3 linked regions of the Macaca mulatta genome follow. The protein of the gene in region 1 interacts with the protein of each later gene in a pairwise test. Links are inferred from orthologs where the notes say so. Each region holds a gene or a part of one and is shown in the gene's direction. Other genes may lie near its edges.

Region 1 (6,094 bases):
GTCTCTGGCAGCCAGTGGAAGAATAGGATAGAGTAAGGAGAGAATTATCAGGTGATTAAGGCAGAGGCCCAAGGGACAGAAACTGCAGCATTTAGCCAAGAGGAATTTGGCGGGACATGGAGAAAGGCCAGTGTCTGGGTTGAAGAGAATTTTTGCAGGTCAAACCGATAGTCTCAGAGGTAGATTTTATGTGTTACTGGTGGGGAGGCCAATGAGGGAAACAGAGGCCAGCTCCTGAGAAGTCAGGGCAGGGTTTGAATGAATGGAACAAAGCTATGGGACATAAAGCCCCAAAACCTGGTATATTTCTGAATATCTCTGTGATCTTGAAAATGTCATATTATGTTTGCTTTAGTTTTCTATCAGCGGATAATATGGCCTCTCCTATCTGCTACTCATGATTGTGAGAAAGAAACGAGGCAGGGAGTGTATAAGGTGTGTAAGTGCTTTGTAAGCAGTAAATCACTAAACAAGTCCTAGACCCTGTGTTATCAGGGAGGAAGTTAATGGCATGGGATAGCGCAGTTACAAGAGAATATAGGTGGAGATGAGGGATATCTGTCCTGTGGTGTAGATAAACAGTCTAATCAATACACACACACTCTACAGGTTAAATACAGCAATTTCCACATTGGGCTGTGTCTACCAGAGGGCAATAGGAGGTTCTCAATTCCCAGCACCAGTGACCCTATGAATTGCCCTGTAGGTGCCTCTGTCCCTCGTTGGATATGAGGTGGTATGAATGGTCTGAATCTGTAGACGTTAGACGGGTTTCAGGTATCTGGAGAACCATGTGAGTGAAAGCTTGTGCTGTTTCTGGGGCTAGAATCTAGTCTCCTTCAAACACTCAGAAGGATCTGTGACTCCCTTCAAAGGTTAAGAGTCATTGATTTTTCTCACTACAAATTAATAAGAATAGCTATCCCTGGGGAGAAGGAATGATGGGGGTAGGGAAAGATTTTCATTTAAAATTTTTTACCTTTCTGAACGGTCTGCATTTTCTAAACAGGAACATGTATTAGTTTCATTGAAAAAAAAAATGTCAGGGGTTATCTGAGCAGTGAGATAATGGGTCCTTTATAGATTTTTGTCTTTATACCGGTTCGTATTAAACAAACACAAATATTAATAACATATTTTTAAAGACCCTAAAAAAATAAAAATTAAAAACCCTGATAGTATCAGCACATACACAGAAATCACTCCATTATGCAAAATTCATCCTCTATTATGAAAGGCAAAATGTCTACATTTCCTATGAACCACTGGCTTCAATTCAGCAAAACTTGCATACCAAGTAGGCAAGGTGGAAACGAAAAAGGCGGAACATTTCATGTATTTCAATTCAGACGCATAAAAATGTCAAGCCCTACACGTATCAACTTTCGTATACACCGTCTTCTGCATTCGCCTGTACCGGCCAATGGGCTAGCTGCTCGGAGTTTGATGCTTGAAGTGATGGAACGGAGGACGGGGTTAAATCTACTATTTCTCCCCACGCACTCTAGTATTTACTCTATTTCCACGTCATGTTTCCGGGTGTGTGTGTCCCTGTTCACGCAGAAACTGAAGTTCAAAGCAGGCGGAGTCACTCATGTTCTTTTTGTTGTCCCCAGAACCCAATTCAGGTGTTGGGTCCCCAGAGGATCTGGAGATACCTGGGGACTGTCTAACTGGCTGATTCCCACGTGGTAAGAGGCTCTCAATCTCGCCACCACGTGGTGCCAAGGGCCGGGAAAAGGGAGAGCGGACAGGAGGGAGCTGTATCAGGGGCATTTAAAGTGCCTTGACGTCACGCACTGCCAGGAACTCAGCTGAGTTTTCAGCAGGACATTCCGGTCATCTTCCCTCCCTCCCCCCGGGCTTCTGTGCCCAAGTCCTCGGCTCTTCCCTCGCTGTGGCGGAGGGAGGAGCACCGAACTGTCGGAACAGCCAGCACAGGGGCGTATCAGTCTTCTCTTGGCTCCGCCCTTTCTCCTAGCTGCTCTCTTCATTGGTCAGTGGGCGGGGCTTTGTCGGTACCGCACACGCACTGGGACCTCTGGGTGGCCGAGCGAAATGGCCGTTCATGAATTATGCATGACGGCGTGCCCCGGCCAGGCTGGGGCTGGGCGGGGATTGGCTGAAGGGGCTGTAATTCAGCGGTTTCCGGAGCTGCGGCGGCGTAGACCGGGAGGGGGAGCCGGGGGTTCCGACGTAGCAGCCGAGGGAACAAGCCCCAACCGGATCCTGGACAGGCACCCCGGCTCGGCGCTGTCTCTCCCCCTCGGCTCGGATAAGCCCTCCGGCCTGAGGGAGCCCCGTCGCCCGCCCCCGGCGCACGCGCAGCCCCGGCCTCTCGGCCTCTGCTGGAGAAACAGGTGAAGGGGGTGCAGGGTGGGGCCGTCGGGGAGGCCTGGGGACCTGGGGGCGCCGCCGCGGTTGGGGGCCTCTGGGACCTTGGGGATTTTGTGATGGACGCTGCAGTGGGGCGGGGAGAGATGAGGAGACGCGGAGGGTCGCCCTGAGGGAAGACTCTTCGGGATGACAGGAGCGGGCCTCGGAAGGGACTCGGGGCGCTGGAGGGAAGTTTCGTTCTTCGGAGAAACAGTGAGAACGCGCCCGAGGGGGCACCGTGGGGCGAGGGCGCACTCGGCTGCGGCGGCAGGAGTGAGGGACAGTCCCCCGATTTCCTGCTCCCTGGAGCCCTGGGGACGTTCCGGCCGCCGGAGCGACTGTCACGCCGGCGGGGATCACCGGCGCGGGTGGGGGTCGGAAAGCGCCTCCTCCCCGCCTGGCCGGCGGCTCCCTCTGAGCCACTTCCTCCGCTTGCCCTGTTCCCGCTTCTTCAGGAGCCAGCTGTGCCCTTCTGGAGGCAGGAATAGGTGTGTCTGTCCCCTGCAGCCTCACGGGCTGGCTGGTCGCGGGTAGGCTTTATTGCATAAGAATCAAGTTTCCTGTAGGGAAATTGACAGACCGGTACTCTTTCTAAATTCCCTCCCATCTTTTTCTAGGTTAAACTATGCTCCCCTCACGCCCCCGCCATGTAAAAAAGAGGGGAAAAAAAGACAAAATCCCCGTCAACCCGTCAAGCCAGCTCTAGAGAGAGAAATAAATCTCTTGGCAATGTTCTTTTCCAAATACCTGGTAAAGTCGGCCAGAAGATAAATAATTGAGCCATTGCGTTTACTGGATTGTGGTGTTGCTTAATTGCATAGGACGGAATGAACCAATCGAGAGTGGGAGTTCTGTGTCTCAGAGCCAAGATCTTGGGTAAATGCAGAGGAGAGGGAAACAAAGACAGGCTGGCCTTGACAAAACCATGTGTGCTAAGTTTACCTGCATTTAGGGGGGTGTGGTTGCACTGAAGTTAACAAGATTCAAACCGTCGCCCAAGTTGGTATTTCCATGTTTGATACACATCACCCTGTGCCATATCAGGTCGTTGTAAGTGTGGTGACAAAATCAGTGGTTAGTCATTGTTTTTTGTTAAAAATGTGTATAGTGTGTACCTGCTGGTCTTACTGTATGTGCAACTAAAGGTTTACGTAGTCTGTGCATGGGTTGTAAATTTTTGGCTGGCTGTGCTGATAAAGCATTGGGCTTGAATAAAGCAAAGCAGAAAATCATCTCAATCTTTTATATGTGGATTTAGACTGTGCTATGACTTGATTCAGCCAGTTTTCTATTTTATTTTATATTAAATATGTCTGTGTTCTCTGAGTCAGCACATTTATTTCCTTATTACATGTTCCAGACGGGAGTGCTAGCCCAGTTTTTGTTCAGTTTGCACAGTGGGATGGGGAAACAAGTCTGGAATTAAAAAAAAAAAATGTTTTAGAGGTTGGAGCCTTGATTTTAGTCTCTGTATTAGCACATCCATCACAAAGAACCATTAGTAAATTCATGAATCTTTTGTTTTTTATGTAGTTCATTTGGGAAGAATAATCACTTAAAAATATCCACAGTGCCAGGCATGGTGGTGCACACCTCTGATCCCAGTTACTTGAAAGCTGAGGCCGGAGGATTCCTTGAGTCCAGGAGTTGAGTCTGGTCTGGGCAACATGGTGAGAGGCCAGGAATTGGGTCTAGAGTCTAGTCTAGGCAACATAATGAGAACCCGTCTCTAAGAAAGAAAGGAAAGGAAAAGAGGAAGAAAGGAAAGAAAAAGAAATACCCACAGCACAGTTATGAATTGACCCACAAAGGACTTGTGAGGTAGGTAGTTCACATAACAATTCCTCTAATATTGTAGATAAGAAAATTGAGGCCAAAGGATCAAGACACTTGCCCAAGGCGGCAGAGTGCCATAGTGGTGGAATTTGTGCCGCCTTCTGTATATTTTGTGAAAAGTATCAGTGAAATTCTTTTTTTTTTTTTTTTTGAGACGGAGTCTTGCTCTGTTGCCTAGGCTGGAGTGCAGTGGCGCAATCTTGGCTCACTGTAACCTCTGCCTCCTGGGTTCAAGTGATTCTCCTGCCTCAGCCTCCCAAGTAGCTGGGACTACAGTTGCGCACCACCACGCCCGGCTAATTTTTGTATTTTTAGTAGAGACCAGGGTTTTACCATATTGGCTAGGCTGGTCTTGAACTCCTGACCTCGTGAGCCGCCCGCCTCTGTCTCCCGAAGTGCTAGGATTACAGGTGTGAGCCACCGCACCCAGTATCAGTGAAATTCTAACATATATCTGAACAGTAAAATACCACCAACAGGCTGAAAGACTTTATGGGAGGTAAATATTCAATAAACACGTGAAAAAAGAAATACAAATGGAGCTTGCTTAGATTATTTTTCTACCTAATTGCTATGTCTAACTTGGGAAGTGAGGAACTGTTTTTGGTCAGCATAATTTACCATCAGAATTCAGCTATTTACTAATGAAAAGAAATACTAATCGTGGTTTGTTTTAGATTAAGGACAGTCATGACCTAAATGTCATTTAAACCAGAGTGCATTGTGGCTTGATCAGTGGTCATTTCTGTCTCTAGAAAGTTGCTTTAACCACCCTGCCTCTACGTGTCTCTTGACATTCAGATGTGAGATGGCGTAGAGGTGGTGACCAACTTTCCAGACACCTTTTTAGCTTATGGTTTTCTTAGGTGATGTGCAAATCAATAAATATATACTTTTTTTTTTTTTTTGAGTTGGAGTTGCACTCTGTCACCCAGGCTGGAGTGCAGTGGTATGATCTTGGCTCGCTGTAACCTCCTTCTCCCAGGTTCAAGTGATTCTTGCACCTCAGCCTCCTGGATAGCTGGGATTACAGGTGCCCGCCACTACGCCCAGCTAGCTTACTTTTTGTATTTTTAATAGAGATGGGGTTTCACTATGTTGACTAGGCTGGTCTCAAACTTCTGTCCTCAAGAGATCTGCCCACCTCAGCCTCCCAAAGTGCTGGGATTACAGGCATGAGCCACCTTGCCTGGCCAACAAATATATACCTTTTGCAACGTTGTCAGAGTTGCTATGAAGAATAAGTTGTATCTTGTTCACAGAAATTTCAATCTACTCGGGGAGCTGATAAATGTTTTAACCATCCAGTGTAACATCTTGTCAGCAAAGAGATGGTGAGACTTTACTGTTGCGCTAACAAGGTAGCTGTTCTACATAAAAGAATATACAGTACAGATGTAGAACATTTCTGTTATCATAGCATGTTCTATTGGACAGTGCTACTGCTGAATGCTGCAGGTCTTCAGAGAAAGGAGAGGTTATGAGGCCTGGAGTTGTCTAGAAAGTCTTTTTGCCAAAGGAGTGATTTCAACTGGGTCCCAAATAATGGGTGGAATTTGATAGGTGTAAATAATTTGTGGTGGTTTATGCCTGTAATCCCAGCACTTTGGGAGGCTGAGGCAGGAGGATTGCTTGAGCCCAGGAGTTTGAGACCAGCTTGGGCAACATGGTGAAACCTCCTCTCCACTAAAAATTAAAAAAATAAGCCAGGCCTGGTGGCGTGGGCCTGTAGTCCCAGCTACTGGTGAGACTAAGGTGGGAGGATCACCCGAGCCCGGGTGGTTGAGGCTGCAGTGAGCTGTGATCCTGCTGCCACACTCTAGCCTGGGCTACAGAGTAAGACCCTAGCTCCAAAAAAAAAAAAAAAAAAAAAAAAAAATTC
Region 2 (4,565 bases), on another chromosome or scaffold:
ATTAATGTATGTTCATATTTTATTCACATTTTTTTCTTCATTTTGATAGAACAAAAAGAGCCTGGTAGCCTTTAAAATCATGCCCCTGGAGGATATGAATGAGTTCACCACACATATTCTGGAAGTGATCAATGCACACATGGTACTAAGCAAAGCCAACAGCCAGGTGAGTAGCCTCACTTTCCTAGCTTTTTCTCTTCCCTGGAAGAACACAGGTTACTTTTGTGTTCCAGCTTTGATTTCCTTGACATTTTGAAGGCCTAGCCAGAGAAAGATATCACTAAGTCCTCAGAACACTTTCTCCATTAGCTTTGTCACCGTATTTTATTTCAGATGAAACACTGATGTTTCTCTCAGAATTAAGAGTTCCTCTGACACTGGCCTGGACAGCTGGGGCCTGTGACAACCCTTAGGTGTAGACATGTAATTATAGGCTGAGCTCTTAGCTCCAAGGATTGTCAGTGCATATTCAGAGAGTAGCCCCCTTCAGGACAGCATTTTACTGTCTTCCTTCCAACTTACTGGCTAAGTAGGAAAAATTATGTACTATTATATTTTTTCCCTGAAATTATATTTATTGATTCGTATTGAAATTTCTCCATAGTATTTTCCATTGTGTGAATTGACTTTGGCAAGTCCATCTAGGACCACACAAAAGGTTTGTTGACTCTAGTATTAGAAAGCCCTCAGGGCCAGGTGTGGTGGTTCATGGCCTGAAATCCTAGCACTTTGGGAGGATGGTATGGGGGCATCACTTGAGCCCAGTTCGAGACACCACCCTGGGTAACATAGGGAGACCCTGTCTCTAGAAAAAAAATTAAAGAATTCGATGGGCTACTTGGGAGGCTGAGTTTGGGAGATCACTTAAGCCCAGGAGGTCAAGGCTGCATTGAGCTGTGATTGTGCTACTCACTGCAGCCTAGGCAACAGAGCAACTTTGTCTCAAAAAAAATAAAGAAAGAAAAAGAAAAATATTTATTGCGCCTACTTTGATTTGATAGTCCCAATCATTCTAGTCCCCATTCGAGTTTAGCAGTGAACACGATATACTTATATTCTTGGGAGAAAGAAGCAATAAACAAAAAATATATATAATTTTAGGTAGTTATATAGGTGCTCTGAAGTAAATAAAGCAAAATAGGAGAAGAGGGTGATGGAGGGAACCAAGAATGGTACAATTTTAGATGGGGAAGAACATTCCAAACCAGAGGGACTAGGAAGTGCAAGAAGCAGGAGTGTGGAGTAAGCGTGACATCTCTGAAACCAGCAAGGCCAGAGTCTGGAGTGAAGCAAATGACGGGAGAGGGAGAGGGTTGTAGACAAGGAGGCAGGGCCCAGATTATGTGGGGCTTTGGAGGCCATAGTAAGGATTGCCTTTATTCAAATTTTTAAAATTTTGTTTATTTGGCGGTTTTTTTGTTTTTGTTTTTGTTTTTTTTGAGATGGAGTCTCACTCTTTCGCCCAGGCTGGAGTGCAGTAGCGCAATCTCAGCTCACTGCAAGCTCCACCTCCCGGGTTCATGCCATTCTCCTGCCTCAACCTCCCGAGTAGCTGGGACCACAGGCGTCCACCACCGTGCTTGGCTAATTTTTGTATTTTTAGTAGAGAAGGGGTTTCACCGTGTTAGCCAGGATGATCTCAATCTCCTGACCTCGTGATCTGCCCGCCTCAGCCTCCCAAAGTGACTCATCACTGCGCCCAGCCTTTTTTTTTTTTTTTTTTTTTGAGACAGTCTCATTCTGTCACCCAGGCTGGAGTGCAATGACGTGATCTCAGCTCACTGCTGCCTCCGCTTCTCGGGTTCAAGCGATTCTCCTGTCTCAGCCTCCCCAGTATCTGGGATTACAGGTGCGCACTACCACACCCAGCTAATTTTTGTAGTTTTAGTAGAGACGGGGTTTCACCGTGTTGGCGTCCAGTTAGCAATCCGGCTGGCAGTGAGGATTTGTGGCCTAGGAGGCAGTCTGGGATGAAATCCTGGGGACTCTGTCAGCCTTTTGGGAGACAGATAGAAGAGGCTAATGAGGGATACTGAGAAGGTTCAGTTTGAGAGTCAGATGAAGAAGCAGAAGAATGTGGTGTCAAGAAGCCCAGGGAGGAACACATTTCAAGAGGAGTGTGGTCAGCAGTGTCTGCTTCTGAGAGGTCAAGTATTAGGAGGACTGAAAGAGACTTTGATAATTGGTTGAAGAGTCTTTGGTGACTTTGGTGAAAACAGTTTCAGAGGTGTACTTGGGGAGAACCCAAATATGGTGGGCTGAGGAGTGACTGGGGAGAAAGGAAATGAAAATAGTGATTGCAGAGCATTTTAAGAATTTGTATTAAAAAAAGGAAAGAGAGAGGACGATAGGGACTGTGTCTCCTTTTCTCTGCCTGTGGTGCTTCATGCCTATAGACACTCAGTGAATGCTTGAGTGATTGGGCCACATGGATACCAAAATAGCAGACTCTGGGTAATTTTCTTCTCACTGCTACTCTTCTCTGGTTCCTCTCACATCAGAAACAAAAGGAGCCAAGAGGATCTGTCTCTTTTTGATATTTATGTGCTTCGGGGAGTTTATCTTCCTATGAAATACTCTTTAGATAATAGCTGTCCATTCCAATGTAAGCAGTGTTACTGGGAAACTGTTTATAAATTGTTTTTTGTAAGCTGCTTAACGAGCTATTTGAAGTTGTAAAGACTGTTTAACTTGATGGATTTTCTAATATTGTTAACTTATTTCTTAATTCAGCCCTCAGCAGGGAGAGCACCTATCAGCAATCCAGGAATGAGTGAAGCAGGGAACTTCGGTGGGAATAGCTTCCTGCCAGCAAATGGCCTCACTGTGGCCCAAAACCAGGTAAACTCCACCAGAGTGGCTTCAGAAATACAAAACACAGACAGTCTTAAATTTTGTTATTTCCTTGATGAGCTAAGATTGTTTGAATACCTGGTTTATTTCTTTCCTATAAAGGGACTCAGGTTTGCAAAGGGGTGGCTGATCCAAAATAATTGCGAAAATCTTTCTGATTTGAATCTTCAGGTGTTGAATTTGATTAAGGCTTGTCCAAGACCTGAAGGGTTGAACTTTCAGGATCTCAAGAACCAGCTGAAACACATGTCTGTATCTTCAATCAAGTAAGTATTTGATTTTCATGAGCTTAGGCTCTGGAATTGTACCTGTTTCACCTCACAAGGGTTTCCTGATAGTGAGAAGTGAGTTTTAAAAGTAAAACTTGGCGGCCGGGCATGGTAGCTCACGCCCGTAATCTCAGCACTTTGGGAGGCCGAGGCGGGTGGATCACCTGAAGTCAGCAGTTTGAGACCAGCCTGGCCAACATGGTGAAAACCCTGTCTCTACTAAAAATACAAAAATTAGCCAGGCGTGGTGGCCTCAATGATCGCACTGCTGCGCTCCAGCCTGGGTGACAGAGTGAGATTCCATCTCAAAAAAAAGTAAAAGTTCGCCAGGCACTAGCTCATGCCTATAGTTCCAGCACTTTGGGAGGCTGAGATGGGCAGATTGCTTGAACTCAGGAGTTCAAGACCAGCCTGGGCAACGTGGCAAAACCTTGTCTCTACAAAAACAATAAAAACAAATTAGCCGGGCACAGTGGCGCATGCCTGTAGTCCCAGCTACCCAGGAGGCTGAGGTGGGAGGATCACTTGAGCCCAGAAAGTCGAGGCTGCAGTGAGCCATCATTGTGCCACTGCACTCCATCCTGAATGACAGAATGAGACTGTCACACAAAAACAACTTAACTACAACCCTGGTGGCAGAATGGAAATTGTTCAGCTATGGAAAAACAGGAAAAAGACTATGCACCAAAATGGTGCTACCCATCACATCACTTATTCAGCAAATTTTTTCATTCAGCAGACACTAAGGACCATTATATGTAAGGGATATATAATAATTCTGAGCAAAAAGTTGACCTGATTTCCTTATGGGATTTAGACTGGAGGAGGGAAGTCCTTAGCTCCTGGTCCTCAGGTGTACAGTCCTGTTGCTGTTACTGTCCCCATTGTGGACATGAGTGTATTAGACTATCTGGACCTTATTAAACAACCAGTCCTTCCAACACCCTTATCCTGATTCCATCTTAGACAAGCAGCCTCCTGATTCCAGTGTAGTAAACCAGTCAAACACACTGACTTATGGTGATGGTGCTTGTGATAGTTATTTGTTACTATAAATCAGTTGACCTGCCAGGCCTAGATAGAAAAGGAATACTCAGGACTAATTCCATTTCCTGTCCTGTAAAATAAGGATAATAATTCCTATCTCAGAGTTACTGTGCTGATGAGGTAGAGAACTGCTGTCACTTAGGTGCTCCGTAGATTGTGGCTATTAAATACGTTACTGACACTAACCCTGAGGACCTTGAAGAGTTTGAAGGTTTCAGTGTTTCCTTTGCTTCCCACAACTTTACTTCCCAGAGGGGGACCAAAGGGATTTCAGTGTGTGGCTGGAAAAGGGGAACTTTTAAAGACAGCTCTTTTTACCAGGAGATTTTGTGTGCAAGTGTGACTACAGCTTTAGATCCTCGTTTTCCTGCTTAGACTGTGTTTAAGTGAGGCCCT
Region 3 (5,585 bases), on another chromosome or scaffold:
TGACCTCAAGCAATCCTCCCTCCTCAGCCTCCTAATGTGCAATGTGCTGGGATTACAGGCATGAGACATTGTGCCCTGCCTAGGTGTGAAAGTTCTATAGACAGAAAAATATGTATATCAGCACGTAGTACTGGGAAAGACTGAATAGCTCCTTGGACATTGGGATTTTTACATTTTTAAAACAGTGTTGTTAATGTCACAAATTGATTCAGCATCTAAAAAAATTAAAAAGTAAATTTTCTATTCAACTAATCAGATCCATTTAATTAGCACTCTGCTTTGAGGAATGATATTTCAGCTGTGGATATAAAAAATTGGCAAGAGTTTTCACAGCTTTCTCCTTCTGCCTCATTAGTAAAATATAGAAATATAAAAGGCAAAAGTACCCTACGACTATATGCAGTGTGATATTGCCTCCCCAAAGGAGGCTTTCACTCAAAAAAAGTAGACCCTCATGGTTTCTATAAGTCTCCGAACAAATTCTCTTCTGGCCACAGACTTTGGGTGTAGAAAATAAACTTACCGGGGCAGGTGGATATGTAGAGTTCACAATGGAAGCAGAGATAAAAGGAAGGCATGCTACCTACCTCCATAGGCTCTACTATACCCTGATCTCTGCCCTGTCTTTGATCACTGGACAAAGAAACCAGTGACCATTGCAAATAGCACCCATTGTACTCAGAAGAAACCCATTCTACTTTTGTGAAAGAATTATCCTTTTTAAATAGCTAAAAAAATATCCCAAGCAAAAAGTAACCAAGACTTTATTATATTGAATGGATAAGGTTTCCACTACTTCTGTCTAAAAATCAAATAATGCCCTTGGAGGACAGTTTAGGAATTAATAAATAATCTTTTGTTCTATGTAGTAAATAATAAAAGCTGGTTTTCTTAATTCCACTTTGAGAGTTGTGTGGTCTATGTTAGGAGGAAAGCAGGCTGGAGTCAACCATGGTTTATTCAATGCCAGGCTGTATTTCTTAGTCTCCCTTTCATTTCACTCTTCGCCATAGTGGGTCCATCATACTCCCAGGCCAGTGAGAAGTGCCCTCTAGTGACTGGATGGGTTCACTTGGCACCCGCCTCCATGCAGACAGAGCAATGCCTGTGTGGGTGCTTCCTGATCAAGACTGATAAGTGGAATGCAAATATCTTCTTTTGAATGCATGACCCTGGCATAGCCAGAGGGAATATGAGTGATGGTGCCTCAAAGCAGTAACTTTCTGCTTAGAGCTTGAGAGTTAAAGGTAAGGACCACACGTATACTTTGGCTCTAGCGAGTCTAAGGTGAGTAAAGCCTTCAGATTATCAGTAAAGAAAGATCTTAACTATTGGGCATGTGAATTCAAATAACGATGCAATTTCGCAAAGCAAAGAAGAACATAAGGAAGTTTGTCTCTCTGGTCTACTGCTCAACATTGCTACTTTTCATGATCAGACCTGATATGAGACTGAGGGATGAAGTAACTGTCTTAGTAGAAGTAGAAAATGAATGCATTTATTTTTCAGAAATAGCTTAAGTTTTAATGTTTTACATAATTTTGGAATAAAAAGGAAGGGTCTTTTTACTTTGTAAATGTACTCATTTTTTTCAGTTCTTTTAAATCTCTTTTGATAGCATCTGTTATTGCGCCCTCATACATTTTCCTCATTTTATCTTATCTTAGGCATTCACTTTGATTTTAAATTCTCATAGATATTGAAAATTATACCTGTGTAATTTATGTTAAATATCTGGTCATGATCAGGGGCTGCAGGTGTTATTTACAATAATGTCAGTGTCTCATAGTGGTTTGGGTAATTTGGTCAAATTACTGGCCATTACTTCATAAATTGTGAGCTGTCTGGAGTTAAATTTTTTAAAGTTTTATTATATCCAATTCAATTCAACCAACACGTATAGAATGTTTAAAGAGTAAGGAGCATTTTGATAAGGTGGTCTGGAGAATGAGGCAAAGATGATGAATTTATTATCCACAGTGGGAGGAGTCAAATATATAAAGTGTTTTTTAAAAATCAGCATATTTATAAAATCCGAAGCAAAGGCAGCAGAAAAACTGTAGCTATTGTGTAATTTATTCTATAATCCTAAGTCAGTCTCATTTTTTAAAAATTAGCATTTATATTATCCCTTAATAGGAAATAGTTGAGGAAAAGATATGAAGGTTAAAGAGAACTTACCTAGATGCTGCAAATACTCATTTTAATTATTTATTTTGTTTAGGATGATAATATGGATACAAAATCTATTCTAGAAGAACTTCTTCTCAAAAGGTCACAGCAAAAGAAGAAAATGTCACCAAATAATTACAAAGAACGGCTTTTTGTTTTGACCAAAACAAACCTTTCCTACTATGAATATGACAAAATGGTGAGACATCATGTGTTCCATTGTTTTTATACTATTTATTACTTTTCCTAAGTCTCCACAACGTACTTGATCATAACGAAAGAATATCAGGTTTCTTAGCGTACACAGTGAAGATCCACTTCTATCCACTTATCACATGACCTTTTCTTAATGAAAGTATAATGAATTCAAGATAAAGGATTTTAAAACATTAGTTAACTTTACTAAGGCAAATTATAACTTTAGAACAGTGGTTCTCAACTGAGGGCATTTTTGCTCCCCAGGTGACACTGGGAAAAGACTGGAGATATTTTGGGTTGTTCCAGCTGGGGGATAGGAACAGTAAGTGTTAAAGGCATCTAGCGAGTAGAGGCCAAGAATGCAGCTAACCATCCTGCAGTGCACAGGACAGTCCTCACAACAAATAATTACCCAGCCTTAAATGGCAATAGTGCCTTAAAACAATGCTAGAAATAAGACTATTCCTGGACAGTTGAGAATTCTACTATAGTAAAAATACTGAAATACTGTCATAAGGTTGAACCAAAATGAAGATGCTTTGCAGAAGTTAAATCTTGATTTTCCTGAGTATATTAACCACATGGTAGGTGATTTGAAACACATTTCAAGATAATCAAACAAGATTATTAACCACTGGAATGTATGTGTTTGTGTCCAGACTCAAGGAATAGATTCTGTTGTCATTGGATTTTGACTATTACGGGATAATGGGAAGTGACTCTCCATTGCCCACCCCCTACCCCAATCTCCCTCTCAAGCATGACTTGAGCTTTATGCTTTTCCTTGTGCACCATGATGTATTGCATGAGGTATCTTACATTTTGTTTTTTAATTCAGAAAAGGGGCAGCAGAAAAGGATCCATCGAAATTAAGAAAATCAGATGTGTGGAGAAAGTAAATCTCGAGGAGCAGACGCCTGTGGAGAGACAGTACCCATTTCAGGTAAAGGGAAGAACAACATTACATTGGGTGGATAGTTCTTCCTTTAATTTTTCTATTGTAAACTCAATATATCCAGGGAAAATAAGGATATTTCAAAATAATCTATTCAGACAATAACAAGGCTTGGAATATTCCCACATGGGAGTTGGGCATTTTGCTAAAATTCTGTCCACAATCTGCCTTCTCTGGAGGGAAGGGAAGCAAGATAGGAGTGTAAGTCGCAGTGACCTGACCTGCCTCAGGTCTGATGATCTCTTTTAACACACATTGCTGAGTATCTCTGATGTGGTACACAGTAGTAGGCATACTATGGGGAACGAAACACTGCTCCTACCCCAAGGCACTGACAGGGAAGTGGCAAAATAAACTAATACACAGACCATTACAAAGCAGTGAGGGTGCGTGTTCAGGTGGAGGTCAGCAGAACGCATCCGTGGAGTCCCAGGATGTGGAAGCTTCATTCCTCGCTCCAAGAGGCTAGAGAGATATTCTATTGGAGGTGACACTCAAGTTGGGAAGGACAAGTAAAATTTAGCCCAGCAAATATGAGAAGGACAGTGGGACAAAAGAAGCAGCAGGTGTCAAGGTGTCAAGGCACTGATGAAATAGTATGATATGTTTAGAGAGCACTAAGTAGTCCCTATGAATAGAAAAGCCCATGCGACAGTGAAAGAGATGAGCCTGGAGAGGTGACCATGCTAAGGAGTTTTCATTTTATCCTGAAGTATTTTAAACAATGGCATGGTATGGAGTGTATGCTGACAGTACCTTTTGGAAGTGGCCTAATCTAAGTCATGCCCAACTTTTCTTATATCATAAAAAGTTACATTTCTGATCTAAAGGTAGATGGATTGTCTTTCAGATGGCCTGACTACCCTGTGCTAGTATTAGGAACCTGTGGCCAAAAATGAAATACAATAATCCAGTTGATTAACAACCCATACTTCCCATTTGGAAAAAATATTACCAGGCCAGGCACAGTGGCTCATGACTGTAATCCCAGCACTTTGGGAGGCCAAAGAGGGAGGATCACTTGAGGCTGGGAGTTCAAGACCAGCCTGGGCAACATAGTGAGAACTCATCTCTACATAAGCATTTTTTTCACGAAAAAATTACCCAATGGGGGGAAACCAGGGGAAGTCATGCTCATGGAAGATGCTGCAAACTCACCTCACAGATGCACAGGGTGCTCAAAAGATCACAGGCTTTGGAGCCCCCACAGAGTTCCTAGTCCCACCACTTATACTTGTGCAACCATAAACACATACTCAACTTCCATTTCTCATAGAGTTGAAATAAGATTAAAATATTGAAGTAGCTAGGAAAGAGCCCAGCAACTAGTAAGTGTTTAACAAATGTGTATATTTACCAACCAGAGTTGAATAAACTAGAGAAAGATCTGGAGAAGATATTGTAACCTTCAAATGTTCAAACATTTGTCTTAAGAAATAGAAATATATTCTGGGGATTCCTGGGGTGCCACATGATTAAACAGATGGAAGTAACAGGGAGACATATTTTTACTCAAAGTAAGTGTGAACTGTATAATGATCAGAATATATGCATATTGGCAGAGATGACATAGTAAAGAACATTCCATCCTTGAAGGTATTTTTAAAGATAGAGCAGTTAAACATTTTCCAGTGGGCTGTAAGGAAATCATGCACTGGGTAGGCAAATGGACCAGAACAATCCTAAGACACGTGTAATGTCTAACATATTAATGTCCATAGTCCGGGGCATCCGTGATGAGAACTCAGTGTTCACTACTACTATTGGGTGCATCATCGCTGTAATTTTCCAAAGTATAGGAGTGTCTGGGATAAAACAAACTGATAGCTGGAGGATTTTTTTAAGCAGATTTTTTTTCCATCTAATTCCAGAGCTGATGTATACTATATAAGCAAACTCAAGGTTTCTTTTGGATGACAAATAATTTGCAGGTGCACCAAAGTGAACTAAGTGCAATTATATATAAACACACCAAATATTTTCCTTTCCAGATTGTCTATAAAGATGGGCTTCTCTATGTCTATGCATCAAATGAAGAGAGCCGAAGTCAGTGGTTGAAAGCATTACAAAAAGGTAATTCAAAAAAAGAAATGTTGAAAGAGAAAGGTCAAAAAAATGTCATAAAAGAGAGTCGTTTTTTGAGGCTTGGTGGAGGAAAGATACGGCAGTAAAAAGACTCAATGCCAAAAGACAATCTACTGATTTTCCTACTAATATCAGGGAATGTGTCAGACTCATCCTCATTTTTGCATTCGCATTG

The links.
Region 2: the proteins of STAT3 (region 1) and RPA2 interact in a two-hybrid assay, tested with the Homo sapiens proteins (2 studies listed by BioGRID and IntAct, with this or other methods). The link is inferred for Macaca mulatta from reciprocal best matches to the Homo sapiens genes STAT3 and RPA2.
Region 3: the proteins of STAT3 (region 1) and BMX interact in binary tests that used the Homo sapiens proteins (3 or more experiments, as listed by UniProt). The link is inferred for Macaca mulatta from reciprocal best matches to the Homo sapiens genes STAT3 and BMX.

What each region holds. Positions count from the first base shown.
Region 1 is NC_133421.1:66,738,483-66,744,576, reverse strand, and holds the start of STAT3 (signal transducer and activator of transcription 3), read left to right. Parts: upstream 1-2,193; 5' UTR 2,194-2,360; exon of another isoform or gene 2,361-5,136; intron 5,137-6,094. UniProt on the Homo sapiens protein: Signal transducer and transcription activator that mediates cellular responses to interleukins, KITLG/SCF, LEP and other growth factors. Once activated, recruits coactivators, such as NCOA1 or MED1, to the promoter region of the target gene.
Region 2 is NC_133406.1:213,042,108-213,046,672, forward strand, and holds part of RPA2 (replication protein A 32 kDa subunit), read left to right. Parts: intron 1-49; coding exon 50-166; coding exon of another isoform or gene 167-170; intron 171-2,733; coding exon 2,734-2,841; intron 2,842-3,024; coding exon 3,025-3,119; intron 3,120-4,565. UniProt on the Homo sapiens protein: As part of the heterotrimeric replication protein A complex (RPA/RP-A), binds and stabilizes single-stranded DNA intermediates that form during DNA replication or upon DNA stress.
Region 3 is NC_133426.1:15,175,133-15,180,717, forward strand, and holds part of BMX (cytoplasmic tyrosine-protein kinase BMX), read left to right. Parts: intron 1-1,170; exon of another isoform or gene 1,171-1,287; intron 1,288-2,224; coding exon 2,225-2,371; intron 2,372-3,208; coding exon 3,209-3,313; intron 3,314-5,316; coding exon 5,317-5,398; intron 5,399-5,585. UniProt on the Homo sapiens protein: Non-receptor tyrosine kinase that plays central but diverse modulatory roles in various signaling processes involved in the regulation of actin reorganization, cell migration, cell proliferation and survival, cell adhesion, and apoptosis.